2 linked regions of the Coturnix japonica genome follow. The protein of the gene in region 2 binds, or shares a complex with, the protein of the main gene of each other region. Links are inferred from orthologs where the notes say so. Each region holds a gene or a part of one and is shown on either strand. Other genes may lie near its edges.

Region 1 (5,939 bases), on a different chromosome or scaffold from region 2:
GTGCGCATACAGAAGAGATTTCCACAAAGAATGTTTAGATTGACACAGAATTCTTTTGCAGACTGTTAGAAAGCCACAGCTATTTCAACGGGCTGACAACACGCACGTGCACTGGGGAGGAACATCTTCCTTTGCCATCAGCTTTTCCACACTATTCAGTGTGGGAAAATTTATTTTAAGACCCAATTTCTTTTTTACCCTGCATTACCTTTCTATTGTAGGTTTTAAGTAAACCTGAAGTTCTGTTAAGTGTCCAAAATATATTGAAGTTTGAGCCAAAATTTCCAGTTATTCTCTGCTGAGCAAAGGCAGACAGCTCTGATATTTCAGTCAGAAGTGCCTACAGCTGACAGGTTGACATCCATCTTGGGGTCAAAGGAAAGCCTAATTTATGAGTTAGTGAGCAGTGAATTACGGAAAACTGTGAATTAATACAAGCTTACTAAAAAAAGAATTACAGAGTTTATTTAATAAGATCCTCGTTATTCAGGAGAGCAGTTATGCTGCAGAATAATTAGAACAAATCTGCACTTAATATTATTAACCCTGAATTACTAACTGTCAACAACAGCTGACAACAGCAGTAATCAATGCTGACAGCACCTGCAAGTCACTGCTTTTCTTTAATGAAAGGATGCCAGCACCAGCTGAACATGACTGCTCTAAGCCAACCTCTGCAAAGACCAAATGCAGCTGAAGTCCCACTGGAAAGAAAGAGTAGATTACTTCAGCATTTTCTTTGTAAAAGGAAGAGCAGTGTGCAGCCAGGACTTAACCAGTTGCAAGCACTGCAAACAGAAACACGTTTGTATGGATGTTATAGCAGGAACTGCAGTAAGTAAGAAAGCAGCCATGGGGTTAAGTAGATTTGAAAACCACAACCCAGCCTCTGTCAATACCACTAAGATCTTCATTCAGGATTGCCTCTTTCATATTTAGTACATCTGCACAGAGGCTAAACAACATCAAGTGCTTAGCAGTGACAGTGTCAGGCTGCGGCCAAGCATCGTGCCTGAAAACAAAACAAACCCCACTTTTGGCAGCCATGCTAACTTTAGTATCAATGGACTCACTGATGGGACTACTCTACTCAGGTTTTGTTGTTCCCTCCTCCCCCCCTCTTTTAATTTCCTCTTTTAATCATTAATTCTTGTTAATTCTGAGACTGCAACTACATAAAACCAACATGCATCAATGCTCGCAAACACCCAAGGGTGTAAATTTGAACATCTATATAGCTGTATGCACATCAAAGATTCTTGCTACAGCAAGCTACCATCCTTCAGCCTACATGCAACAAGTACCTTATTACAGTAAGAAATACAGCTCCAGATGTAATATCTCCAGAACAGCTTAGAGCTGTCTACCTTCTTCAGTTCCACACCAGTACTTACTGTTTGGGGGTAGGAGAGTGGGCGTAGTCTGTCATAGTCCTCTTGACCAGCTGTATCCCACAGGCCCAGATTGACTGGTTTGCCATCAACCATTACATTAGCAGAGTAGTTGTCAAAGCTAAAAAATAAAAGTTAGCTGCATTTGATTGTAGTCAAATTGGGCACCTAAGTATTTCTTCCTGCAGAGTCATAACTAGGAAAGCTATAACACTGCACTTCTGTGCAGCACACACAGATGCTTGGCCAGATGTTATGATGGCACTGAGTGGTGTGTGCCCACAATTCAGGAGGCTCAGTGAGGAAGCTGGACCAGCAGGAAGCACCAGTGGGTTGACAGGAATGTTTTTAGAATGTTGTAAGTACTTACACTGTGGGTATATATTCCCCAGGAAACGCATTGGTTGTGTAACTGATGAGTAGGCATGTTTTACCTACAGCACTGCAAAAAAGAGAAAGTTTACATGTAAAGAACATTCATCTCAAATAGCAAGCAATAATATTCCTCTTAGGGAAGAAAACTAATTACACCCAGTCACCTAAGGAACAATTGAGAGTGCCAGTAGAAAATATTACACACAAAAACAAGTAAGAGGCTGTAGCCTTAAGGTTACTGCTAGTGTGGAAACACAGCTAATATAAACATCCATTCTGTTACCCTTAGTTTTATTTTACATAAGTTTGAAGAAAGCTTGAAACCACATCATTTCTCAGCATATCATTATTTTTGCTGAAGTGAGAACAATACAAATGGCAGTGCTCACCATGATTATTGCTACTGCAAAGTGACTCCCGGCATGCATTCACCAAGCACTTCACTGGCTGCCTTACAGATAAACTGCATTCCAACAATGAAGACAGCACCCAAACCGCCCCACAGCCCACCCCACTGCCCTTCTCAGACACACTCCTGCACAAGTTGACTGGCACCGCCTCACAAATCACTTTCTCACACTTAAGTCAAGCCAGTAGGAACTTCCTAATCTTGCTGTACATACAGACAAACCTTGCTGTTAGCAGCAGCTTGGACTCTCAAGCCTCCTGATTCAAGTCTATCACAAACTGAAGGAACTCATGAAAGCTTTAGTCTAAAACCACAGCTAGTATTAACAGCAAAGGAAATATTACCAGAAACCAAATGCTACTGCTAAAAATACACTGTAATCCTTTCGCTTTTGCAGAAGACAAAGACAACTCTCAGAAATGAGCATTAGTCATGGGCTCATAGCTCTCCTGCTGCAAACAACTGAGGCGTTCCTATCTGAATTTTAGCAACTGTTTTACATTTGAATCATAGCATTTCTTTTCTTTCTGGAGAACCTTGGACTGCTACTTCATACACCTAAGATCAGCTTCAAAATGCTATTTAAAATCACTTAACACTCAATGTTAGCCCATCAGCCCTACCTAGTGACTCACAGTTCGAGGGATGTTAAGTACCTCTACCATAGCTGAACCCAGGAACAGCTCAGTGCCACTTAACCCAGGAGGGCCATGGCAACCCCTGACAACAGCACCACACACATTCAAGCCATGAAAGAGGAGTTGCTTCACTGTGCACAGCATTGCCACAGATTTTTAGCCTCCGTGCCTATTAATTGCACTTTTGTTCCTGAGCAGAATGTCCCACTAATCACAGCACACGGTGGCAGTTTCCTGCCCTGCTTTGCACACATGCTCTAAGGAAACAATCTGATTTTCTTCTTTTTCTTCCAGCATACACCCTCCTGAACCGAGCTGGCAGAACTGAACACCAGAATTTTCCTCTGCTCGAGCAAACTACGACCTGCAGATGTTTTCCTGTCGCAACACGCTTGACACACTCATGTACAGAGCAGCACAGAGATTTATCACGCAAAAACTTCTGTGGGAGAAATCTGGGAGCTGCGTGCCATGCAGCTAAGCTGGCTTAACAGCTGCCAGCAGAGGAGATCCCGTGCTGTCCCCATTGCAGGGGCACTGGGCTGACTGCTAACAAGCCACTATGCGGAGGGAAAGCTCCACATTCCCCCAAGGACAACCTGCTGCTCACATCCTTGGGATGCTTCATCAGCCACCGTGTGCTGCTGACTGCTGTCAGCGAGCTATAAAGCAGGCTCTGCCAGTCCTACCGACCAAGGACAAACGTGAAAACCCTCAAACACTGGAAGCAGCAAGGAGCACATTCCCTAGGAAACTTCCTGAGGCTCAGAGCTACGTGCTCATGTGCTTCCAGAACCTGGCTGGTCTGATGCTTCGCTTTCCAGTGGGTTCATTACAGACAACAAAAGCTTATAACAAATTCATATGGAACTCCACATTTTCAGCAGAGGCCCAGGAACCTGTCTCAGCGCTCAAGTTTCTTTGCTCACCCTGCTCTGAAACCGGTGAGTCTGCTCTGGCTAATAGAACAGCACAGGGAGGTGGTGACAGGTTTCATTCCATGCTGAGAAGCGCCTGCCTGCAGCATGTATCTGCAGCACAATCAGGCAGCCACTTGAACAAGAAAAAACACGTTCAACAACCCTGTTTCAGGCCTGCTCCGTTCCAGGCTTCCTGCTTCCCTTGCCTTCTGGCTCACTGCCCCACAAATCGGGTATTACAGTTACCAATCCTCAAAATGAACTTCAATACCTATCTTTGCAATGAAGCACAACCTCTGAGTACTTACAGCTTTTCTCTAAGCTGACCAACTTCTGTGATAAGGAACTTAGAACTGCACTTGTTTTGCGAAGTATAAATCCTTGCACATAAAGACGTAGACTCTGAGATACTTCCAAACCAAACTTAGTCATAACAAAATTTCGAGCAACTGCTTAATCACAGCTCTGTCCACCCACCATTGCATCAAATGAAACTGGTAACATTTGACTGCAATTAAAAACATGGCCAACAGAAATTCAGCATTTTAATGAGTTGCAGTGAATTGCTTTCTGACACCTTCTAGGAACCAGTCTTTGTAAAGCCACATATGTTGTTCCTGGAAACAAGGCACGCCATCCCTTTCTTACACTAAGCGGTTCTGCAGAGCTCCCCATGTTCCTGCTGCTGGCAGACACGTATGTGACTCGCTCTGAACGCCATCAGACAATGTGTGCCAGCATTTCCTCCATCCTGCAGGCACCAGAGCTGCACAGATGCTGCACTCTCCTCCTCTCCCACGACTAAAACCCAACTGCACGAATTTAGTTGCTGTTTGCAGCCACAGGAATGGAGGCGGAGGCCAGCTGAAGTAATTGCTGTTTAATTCCAGAAATGTTGATATCTGCAAACAGGTGGCAGCCTTCTGAAAGCCTCTGACAACATCCTTCCTCTCTCAGCTGCATGAACCAGCTCCACCCCAGGCGTGCTGCATGGCTCAGGTCTCCATTCACATCAAGCAGCAGATGGGACATCACCAGCACTGTCCTTGGACAGAATTGCCATGTTTTTGCTACAGCAGAGGTTTAGATATATGCCACTTTTCCAGGTGAGCTGCTTTTCTCGCTGTGACACCCATCTCCCCAATATACCGCTCAGCATTTCCAGTACTACCCAATGTGTAGAAGTGCAATAGCAGAAGTTCCTACACTTGGAGTCGCTGCACTCTCCATAGGTGGCACTGGAGAGCAGAGGTGCTCGGAACCTCACCCTGCACTCAGTAAGGAGCCCATCACCCCCCTTCCTTCCTCTTGACAAGTTATCAGATCAGGCAGCACAGCTTTAGCCAGCAAGGCCTCAAGGCGAGCACAATTCCAGACAGACTCTTTTCTTACAATAGTTTTACAATGAAAACCAGCTCCAGAAGAGCAGGAAGCTGACCGTTTCTCTGTCACCCAATAATCATCATTCCAAAGCACAGAACTTCCCCCAGCGTTACACGAGATCACTTGAGATTTCATACCACTGAACAGCTGCTTTTTCAGAGTGAAAACAAAAGCTGCTAAAAATAACTCCTAGCAGTGCTCTCCACAAGTGTCAGTCAGCAGCAGCTCCTGCCCTTGTTATCCCAGCACACGTTCCTACTGCTCTGCATCTTCCACAAGCACAAGCAACAGTTGCTGTTTATTTTCCCTCTAACAATCCTCACAATGAAGAGGAAAACAAGGGCAAAACAAGATTGCACAACCAGCAAACATGCTGTGTTTTGTAGCCAAATTAGAGCTCTAAAAAGATACCAGTCAGAGCCCTAAGAACAAAAACAGCTCAGAAACCGCCTGCTTGCTTCCAGCTGTTAAGGCTGCACAGGTACATCCACAGCTGGTTTGTTCCCAGTGGATCTCCACAGGGCACATAAATCAGCGCCTAAGTTTTATGTCATATGAGCAAATCTTTAACCTGCATTGTTTTCCTGAAGTACCAGAGCTTTAGCCTTATCTAAGCCAAACATTCCGCATTTACCAGAACGCCTGTAATGTCTTCACTCGTGAAGCAACAGCAGAGAAGCACCATAAAATATTTAAAAATCCCAGCAGAAGTCAATGAACAGATAGCAAAACTGAGCAGCGGCTTCTAGATGGGATCCTAGGAGGTATGTGCTTCTAACTGCAGAGGAAGGAAAGCCCACTGAATGCCGTGTTTTGTTCACAC
Region 2 (6,239 bases):
TATGATGCCCGCTGGGGGATTTATTTTTGTAACCCTGTATTTATTGCTGAACCCCCCCCCCCCCACAGCCCCTTGAACCCCCATAAGGCAGCAGCCCTGGGCTCTGCCTTAGCCCTCCCCAGTTATTTATTCCCCCTCAGTGCTATTTATTGAGACCTCCATGTGCTACTGAACGCCAGCCTGAAAATAAAAGCCTGACCCCACAATGTGCCACACTGGGATAAATGGGAGGGCAAAGGGTTGAGGTGCACAGGGTCCCCCTGTGGATGCTGGAGGGGAGGTGCCAAGGATGCGGGGATAGAGGTGCATTGGGAACCCCCATCCCAGCCACCCCAGTGGATGCTGGGGGGCATCTCCCATCCCCAAAGCACACCCAGGGGAAGGGGGAGGCAATGGGGAGGGAAGGGGGGGGAATGGGGGCGGCCCCATGCCAGCACCCTGTCACCACCCACTCCTTTCTCACAGCTCTGCCCCAAGCACTCACATCCCATGGACTCAGCGCCACCTACCGGGGTTGTTCCATATGCTTTTAGAGCACCCATGGGTGCTGGAGGTGGGGGGAGAGGGGATATGGGGCTGGGGGTGTCACCTCTGGGTACCCTAACCCTAACCACTGCAGGTCTGTCCCATCGCTGGGGTCACTAAAGATTTGGGCACTGAGCTCCCAACTCACACCCAGGGCACATGAATGGGGTGTGATCAGGAAGGATCTGGGGCCTTTCGGTCCTTTTATTGCAAAAAGCAACCAGAAAAGAAAAAAGACAATGTATAAAACGTGAAGAGGTGGCGCAGCAAGCAGAGCTGCGTGAGCCCACAATGGGGCTGTGAGGCTGGGGGAGCTCCTTGGGATATGGGGGCACCTGAGCAGCCCCCAGGGATTCTGAGGAACCAAGGGGGGGGAAGGAGGGGAGATGAGCACCCCTAGGGGTCTGGGGACCAATGGGGGGGTGAGGGGTACAGTAGGGAAGTGAGTGCAGCACTGGGACCCCCAGCTCCGTGTTACTCAGCCTCTACAGGGATGGGGTTCACCTGCCCCCCCACTTCTGCTGCCTGTTTCCTGCGTGCATCAGCAGGGGGTCGGGGTGGGGGGTTGCTGGGGGGCTGTTTGATGGTGTCCCCCATGTGCGGCCGCTCGCGGGGCTTCTGCTCAATGGGTCGCCATTCCTCCCCACGCACCGCTGCCTGCAGGGCCAGGGGGGAGCAGTCAGCAGGGAGCCCCCTCCTTCAGCCCCATAATCAGCCCCCATTACCCCCCCAGAGGAGCTCACCAGCAGGTAGATGCCACTGGCAATGCCCAAACAGACGGTGCCCAGGATGGTGGAGAGCAGGAAGCCAGCAGGGACGGCCAGCCTGAGGGTACAGGGGAAGGTTAAAAGGGGGGGGGGTTCAGGTTCACCCCCCAGCCCCAACCCCACTCACGCTGCGTGCAGGATGGCACGGATGTAATAGTTCCGGGTGAGCGGTCCAAACACCTTCAGCACTGCTGTCATGTACTTCTGGCCACTATGGGGCAATATGCAGAGTCAGGGGGGCACCCGGCCCCAAAAGACCCCCCCCCTAAATATATATAGGCACCCCAATAGCACCCCATCACTCACCAGCGCTCCATGGTGGAGCCCTTCTGCCTCTTGCTGCGTGGGTATTCCAACAGGCAGACGAAGGCGCCTGCAGCACTGCAGGGGGATGGGGGTCAAGGAAAAGGGGGGTTTGGAGCCAAGGGTGGGGGTGAGACCCCACAGGGAATGGGGCAGAAATGGGGCCAGGGTTGGGGGGCAGCTCCATAGGGAAAGGGGCAGGAATAGAGCGATGTGGGGCCACAGAGAGGGAGATGAGGGACCCCCCCCCCCCCCTCCCCGCCTGCACAGAATAAGGTGCCCCCTCCCACCCCGAGCCCCATAAGGATACATGGCGTAAGCTGCGAAGTACCAGCCCTTGAACTGCCCCGCCACCGCCACGATCCCTCCGGTCAGCATGACTGCGGGACAGCGGGGACACTGCTGGCATCCCGGCTATTAACAGCGGGGGATGCTTCGCGTGGGACCCCCACGAGCCCAAACAGGGAACGGGGCGGGGGGTTGGGGGTTAAACCCTATAGCGGCCGGGCTGGGGGGCAGCGGGGGGGAGACCCACGGTGACACACGATGTTGGTGATACGCTCCGGCAGCGCTTCCGCGTCCTCATCGCCGCTCACTTCCTCCATCTCCGGGCGGGGTTGGGCCAAAACGGGATGGGGGGGTCGGGGGGGAACACAGCCAGGGGTCTCTCCCCATATCCCGTATCTATAGCCTCACATTCTCAACCCTACACCCCCAGCCCTGAACTCCCTTCCCCATATCCTCACCCCCATCCCTGCATCCCCATCCCACATGGGACCCTTTGACCCTCCCCCCATCACCCAGCCCCTTTAACTCCCCATCTCCCCCCCGCACTCACTCAGCCCCGCCGCCAGCGCCTGTTCGTTGGCCCACATGGCCCATTCGATCTGCCCCATGGTTCGAGCTCAGCCTTAGTTCGGGCTCGGCCCAACCCGACCCGGAAGGCAGCGATGGAGCCGAACAGCCGAACCCCTTCCCCTCCTTAAGCGACGCCCCTTCGAGTAACCCACGCCCATTCATTACAAAGACACGCCCCCACGAAGAGCCGGGCCGTAGGGGGACACGGGGTGATACGGGAATATATAGGGTGACATGGGAATATATAGGGTGACATGGGAATATATAGGGTGACATGGGGCAGGAGCAGCCCTAATGGGGACCACGGAGCGACTCGGGACTCAGAGCAGCACTGCGGCTGGAAAACCTCTATTATTTGATTAGAAAAGAGTAAAAACCAGGCAATGGGAGGAGCCACATCTGGGTCGGGATGGGGACAGATGAGCACAGCATCTCACAGCCCCAATGCAGGCAATGGGACGGTGGGTCCCTGCCTGTGTGCCCCCCAGGGGCAGCCCCCATTGGGCATCCCTGCTGTCCCCAATGGTGTCCCCATCACGGTGTCCCCATCACGGTGTCCCCTGTTCTCAGGCAGAGTGGCATGGCAGCCCATCGGGGCCCAGTAGATGCTGGCTGGGGGCATCCAGGAGCTGTGGGCCAGGGCCAGGCTGTGGGGACAGGAGATGTGTTAGGGGACAGCACGGAGCAGGAGGCTCAGGACCACCCCCACCTCCCATACCTTGGTGTGTAGGATGTAACGAATGGCCCCTGGTACCGGATCCATCACCACGGCTGACAGCAGCTCCTCTGGCAGCACCGCTGTGCCAACGGGTCGGCCTCGAAGGAACCTGCAGCAGGGATGGCACCCAGATGTCCCCAACCCCACCCCATGTCCCATGGTTCCATCCCCATCCCCATCCCACCAGTCCCCGTCCACATCTCCATCCCTATCGCCATCCCACCAGTGCCTATAGCCATCATCTCCATCCCCATTCCCACCCAAATGTCCCCATCCCCATTCCCACCCCCCCAGTCCCAAATGACAACACCCTTACTGGTCCCCATTGGAGCTGGGTGGGAAGCTGCGCCTCACCACCTCCACAAACTCATCCACTGTATCCTCCAGCATGAAGACGACCGCATTGGGGCCAGCATCGAAGGTATAGGCCACCTGGGGACAGGGACACAGTGAGAGGGGTGCAGTGCCAGCAGGACGGGGCCATAGGGGGGGGGCTGCCCTACCTTGGTGCACCCATGGTGGGCATTGAAGCGATGCACCAGGGCGATGATGCGCCGCGAGATGTCATTGAGGTAGAAGATGGGGGGGAAGGTGTCGAGGCAGGTGGCGTGGAACTGGTTGCTGTCCTGCATGGTCAGCTGGCCAAAGGTCTCAAAGTCTCGATCCTGGATGCAGCGAGCCATGCGGGTCATGCGCTCCGGCACCACCACCTCAGCACGGTACTATAGGGGCAGCACCAGGGGGGGGTCATCTCATGGATCCCATAGGATTCACTTCCCATGGCCCCTCAGTACTCAGCCATTGGAGGAGGTGGCCATGATCCCCAAACCCAACCCATCCCACCATGCTCACACCCCGACACCTCCCCACCTCCCCATGCAGCCTGTGCTGCTCATCACCAACCATCCAACCCACCTTCAGCAGGGGGCTGGTGTCCACACTGGTCTGCATCCCCGCCGTGCTGCCCACCGCCTTCTTCTCCCCGCTGACCTACACCAGAACACAAGACATGGGGCACCCTACAAGGCGTCCACCTCCCACCCCCAGCATCAACCCCATCCCTCACCACCAGCACGAGGACACTCAGCTCCGGCCAGTGTGTCTCAGGTGCCAGCTGCTGTGCCACGCTGTCTCTACCATCCGGCCTCTCCCCACGGTTCCATTGTACGAAGCCCCCCAACATACTGCGACACGCGCTGCCCGACCCACGCCGTGCCACCTCCGACAGCTCCCCCTCCACACCATAGAGCCGTGCCAGCACCGACACTGCAGGGATAACAGCGTTATGGTCACAGCGTCCCCATCACCCCCCACCCCATTGCTGCCCCCCATACCCACCCAGGCAGGCGTAGCCAGCAGCTGAGGATGCCAACCCAGCAGCGGTGGGGAAGTTGTTCTCGGAGGCGACGTGCACTTTGTAGGACAGGCTGAGCGGGGCTGCAGCGTCGTCACCGCGTCTCTTACGGGCCAAGCGCCGCACTGTGCAGGGATGGGGTTATAGGGAAGCAAAGGACACGGCTCTGTGCCCCCCCAGCCCCCAGCCCAGCTCACCCTCCCTCAGACAGGCCTGCAGCCGGGGCTGTGCCGCATCCACCTCCTCTCCATTCAGCCACAGCCGGTCCTCGGTGAAGTCACGGCAGGCAGCAGCCGTGGTTGTGGTCCTCAGCTGTATGGGATGGCACTGAGCTCATGGGGGGGGGCACACAGCCCTGAGGGTGGGGATATGGGATCCCCAGGGTTTGAGGTGGGCACCAACCTGGTCCTGGTGCAGCGTGACGCTGAGAGAGGAGTTGATGGGCAGGATGAGCTCGGTGTCACGCTTCCCCCCTGCAACAGATGGGAGAGGTGAAGCAATGCTTGGCATGGCACGGTGCCACTGTGCTCAGTGCCACTTGGCATGGCATGGCATGGTACCACTTAGTATGGCATGGCATGGCACAGCATAGCATGGCATGGCATGGCACAACATGGTATGGCATGGCATGGACCCACTTAGTATGGCATGGCATGGCATGGCATAGCATGGCATGGCACTGCTTGCTGCCCATCAGCACTGCCTGGCACAGCACAGCACTGCTTGGGATGGGCATAGCACAGCATAGCACAGCATGGCACTGCCTGGCATGGCTCTACATGGCATGGCATAGCAAAACCCAACCCAACCCAGCCCAACTCAACTCAACTCAACCCAACTCAACCCGATCCAACCCGACCCAACCCGCCCCGTCCCGTCCCGTTACTCACAGTACTTGATGACGGCGATGTTAACGGGTGCTGTACATGTCACCCGCTCCATGTCCCGCTCCGTGCCTCGCTCCGCCGCCATGTTTACGCACCCAGCCGCCACTACGCCCCGCCCACCCGCTCGCGCGTGTGAGCCCAGCCATCCTATTGGCTAGCGACACAGCGGCCGGAGCCGGATGACCAATAGGAGGCATCGTACCACGGGATGGCCCCGCCCCATCCCACCCATTGATAAAAAAGAGTGTGTGAAGGGGGCGGGGCCAACGTGGTGCCATGTGGGCAGTGCGCATGCGCGGGGTGGGCTGTGCTTGGCGTCTGTGCCCCTATTTGGGGCTCCCAGTGCCCCCAGTAACCCCAATAACCCCATTACACACACTGTGCCATTGCTCCCAGTATCCACAGTGCTCCCAGTACCTGCTACCCAGCAGCAGGAGCCCCTACTGCCCCTCTGGGAGCCAAGATCCAACCCCCCCCCCCCCCCCCCCCCCCCCCCCACTCCAGTGTCCCCTCAATGGGGCCACCCCAGTCTCTAAGTGCCCCCCCCCATTGATTCCTATGTATCCCCATGGCCCATAGGAAATCACACGGCTATTATGGGATGTGGGATTCCTTCCCTGCTGCAGGGGCAGCTGGGGACCCCATTGAGCCCAACAGCACATGGGGAGGGGGGGCTTGGCATCCCCACTGCTGACACCCCCCCATATAGACCCCAGCACAGCCAGGGCTCATAGCACTGTGCTTGGGTTACAGCTGAGCTCAGTACAACCCAATATCCCCAATACAACCCAATATCCCCCATACAACCCAATATCCCAATACAACCC

What was found.
Region 1: cytochrome b-245 light chain (region 2) and RAC1 share a complex: the UniProt entries of both Homo sapiens proteins name them as parts of the phagocyte NADPH oxidase complex. The link is inferred for Coturnix japonica from reciprocal best matches to the Homo sapiens genes CYBA and RAC1.

What each region holds. Positions count from the first base shown.
Region 1 is NC_029529.1:8,458,418-8,464,356, forward strand, and holds part of RAC1 (ras-related C3 botulinum toxin substrate 1), read right to left. Parts: intron 1,834-5,939; coding exon 1,762-1,833; intron 1,513-1,761; coding exon 1,395-1,512; intron 1-1,394. UniProt on the Homo sapiens protein: Plasma membrane-associated small GTPase which cycles between active GTP-bound and inactive GDP-bound states.
Region 2 is NC_029526.1:16,406,062-16,412,300, forward strand, and holds cytochrome b-245 light chain, read right to left. Parts: upstream 2,747-6,239; 5' UTR 2,730-2,746; coding exon 2,434-2,729; intron 1,976-2,433; coding exon of another isoform or gene 1,906-1,975; intron 1,674-1,905; coding exon 1,599-1,673; intron 1,504-1,598; coding exon 1,420-1,503; intron 1,351-1,419; coding exon 1,269-1,350; intron 1,183-1,268; coding exon 1,000-1,182; 3' UTR 705-999; downstream 1-704. Other genes in the region: MVD (diphosphomevalonate decarboxylase), read right to left, coding at 3,020-3,100, 3,172-3,280, 3,488-3,603, 3,675-3,893, 4,087-4,161, 4,238-4,437, 4,510-4,650, 4,723-4,837 and 2 more. UniProt on the Homo sapiens protein: Subunit of NADPH oxidase complexes that is required for the NADPH oxidase activity that generates, in various cell types, superoxide from molecular oxygen utilizing NADPH as an electron donor.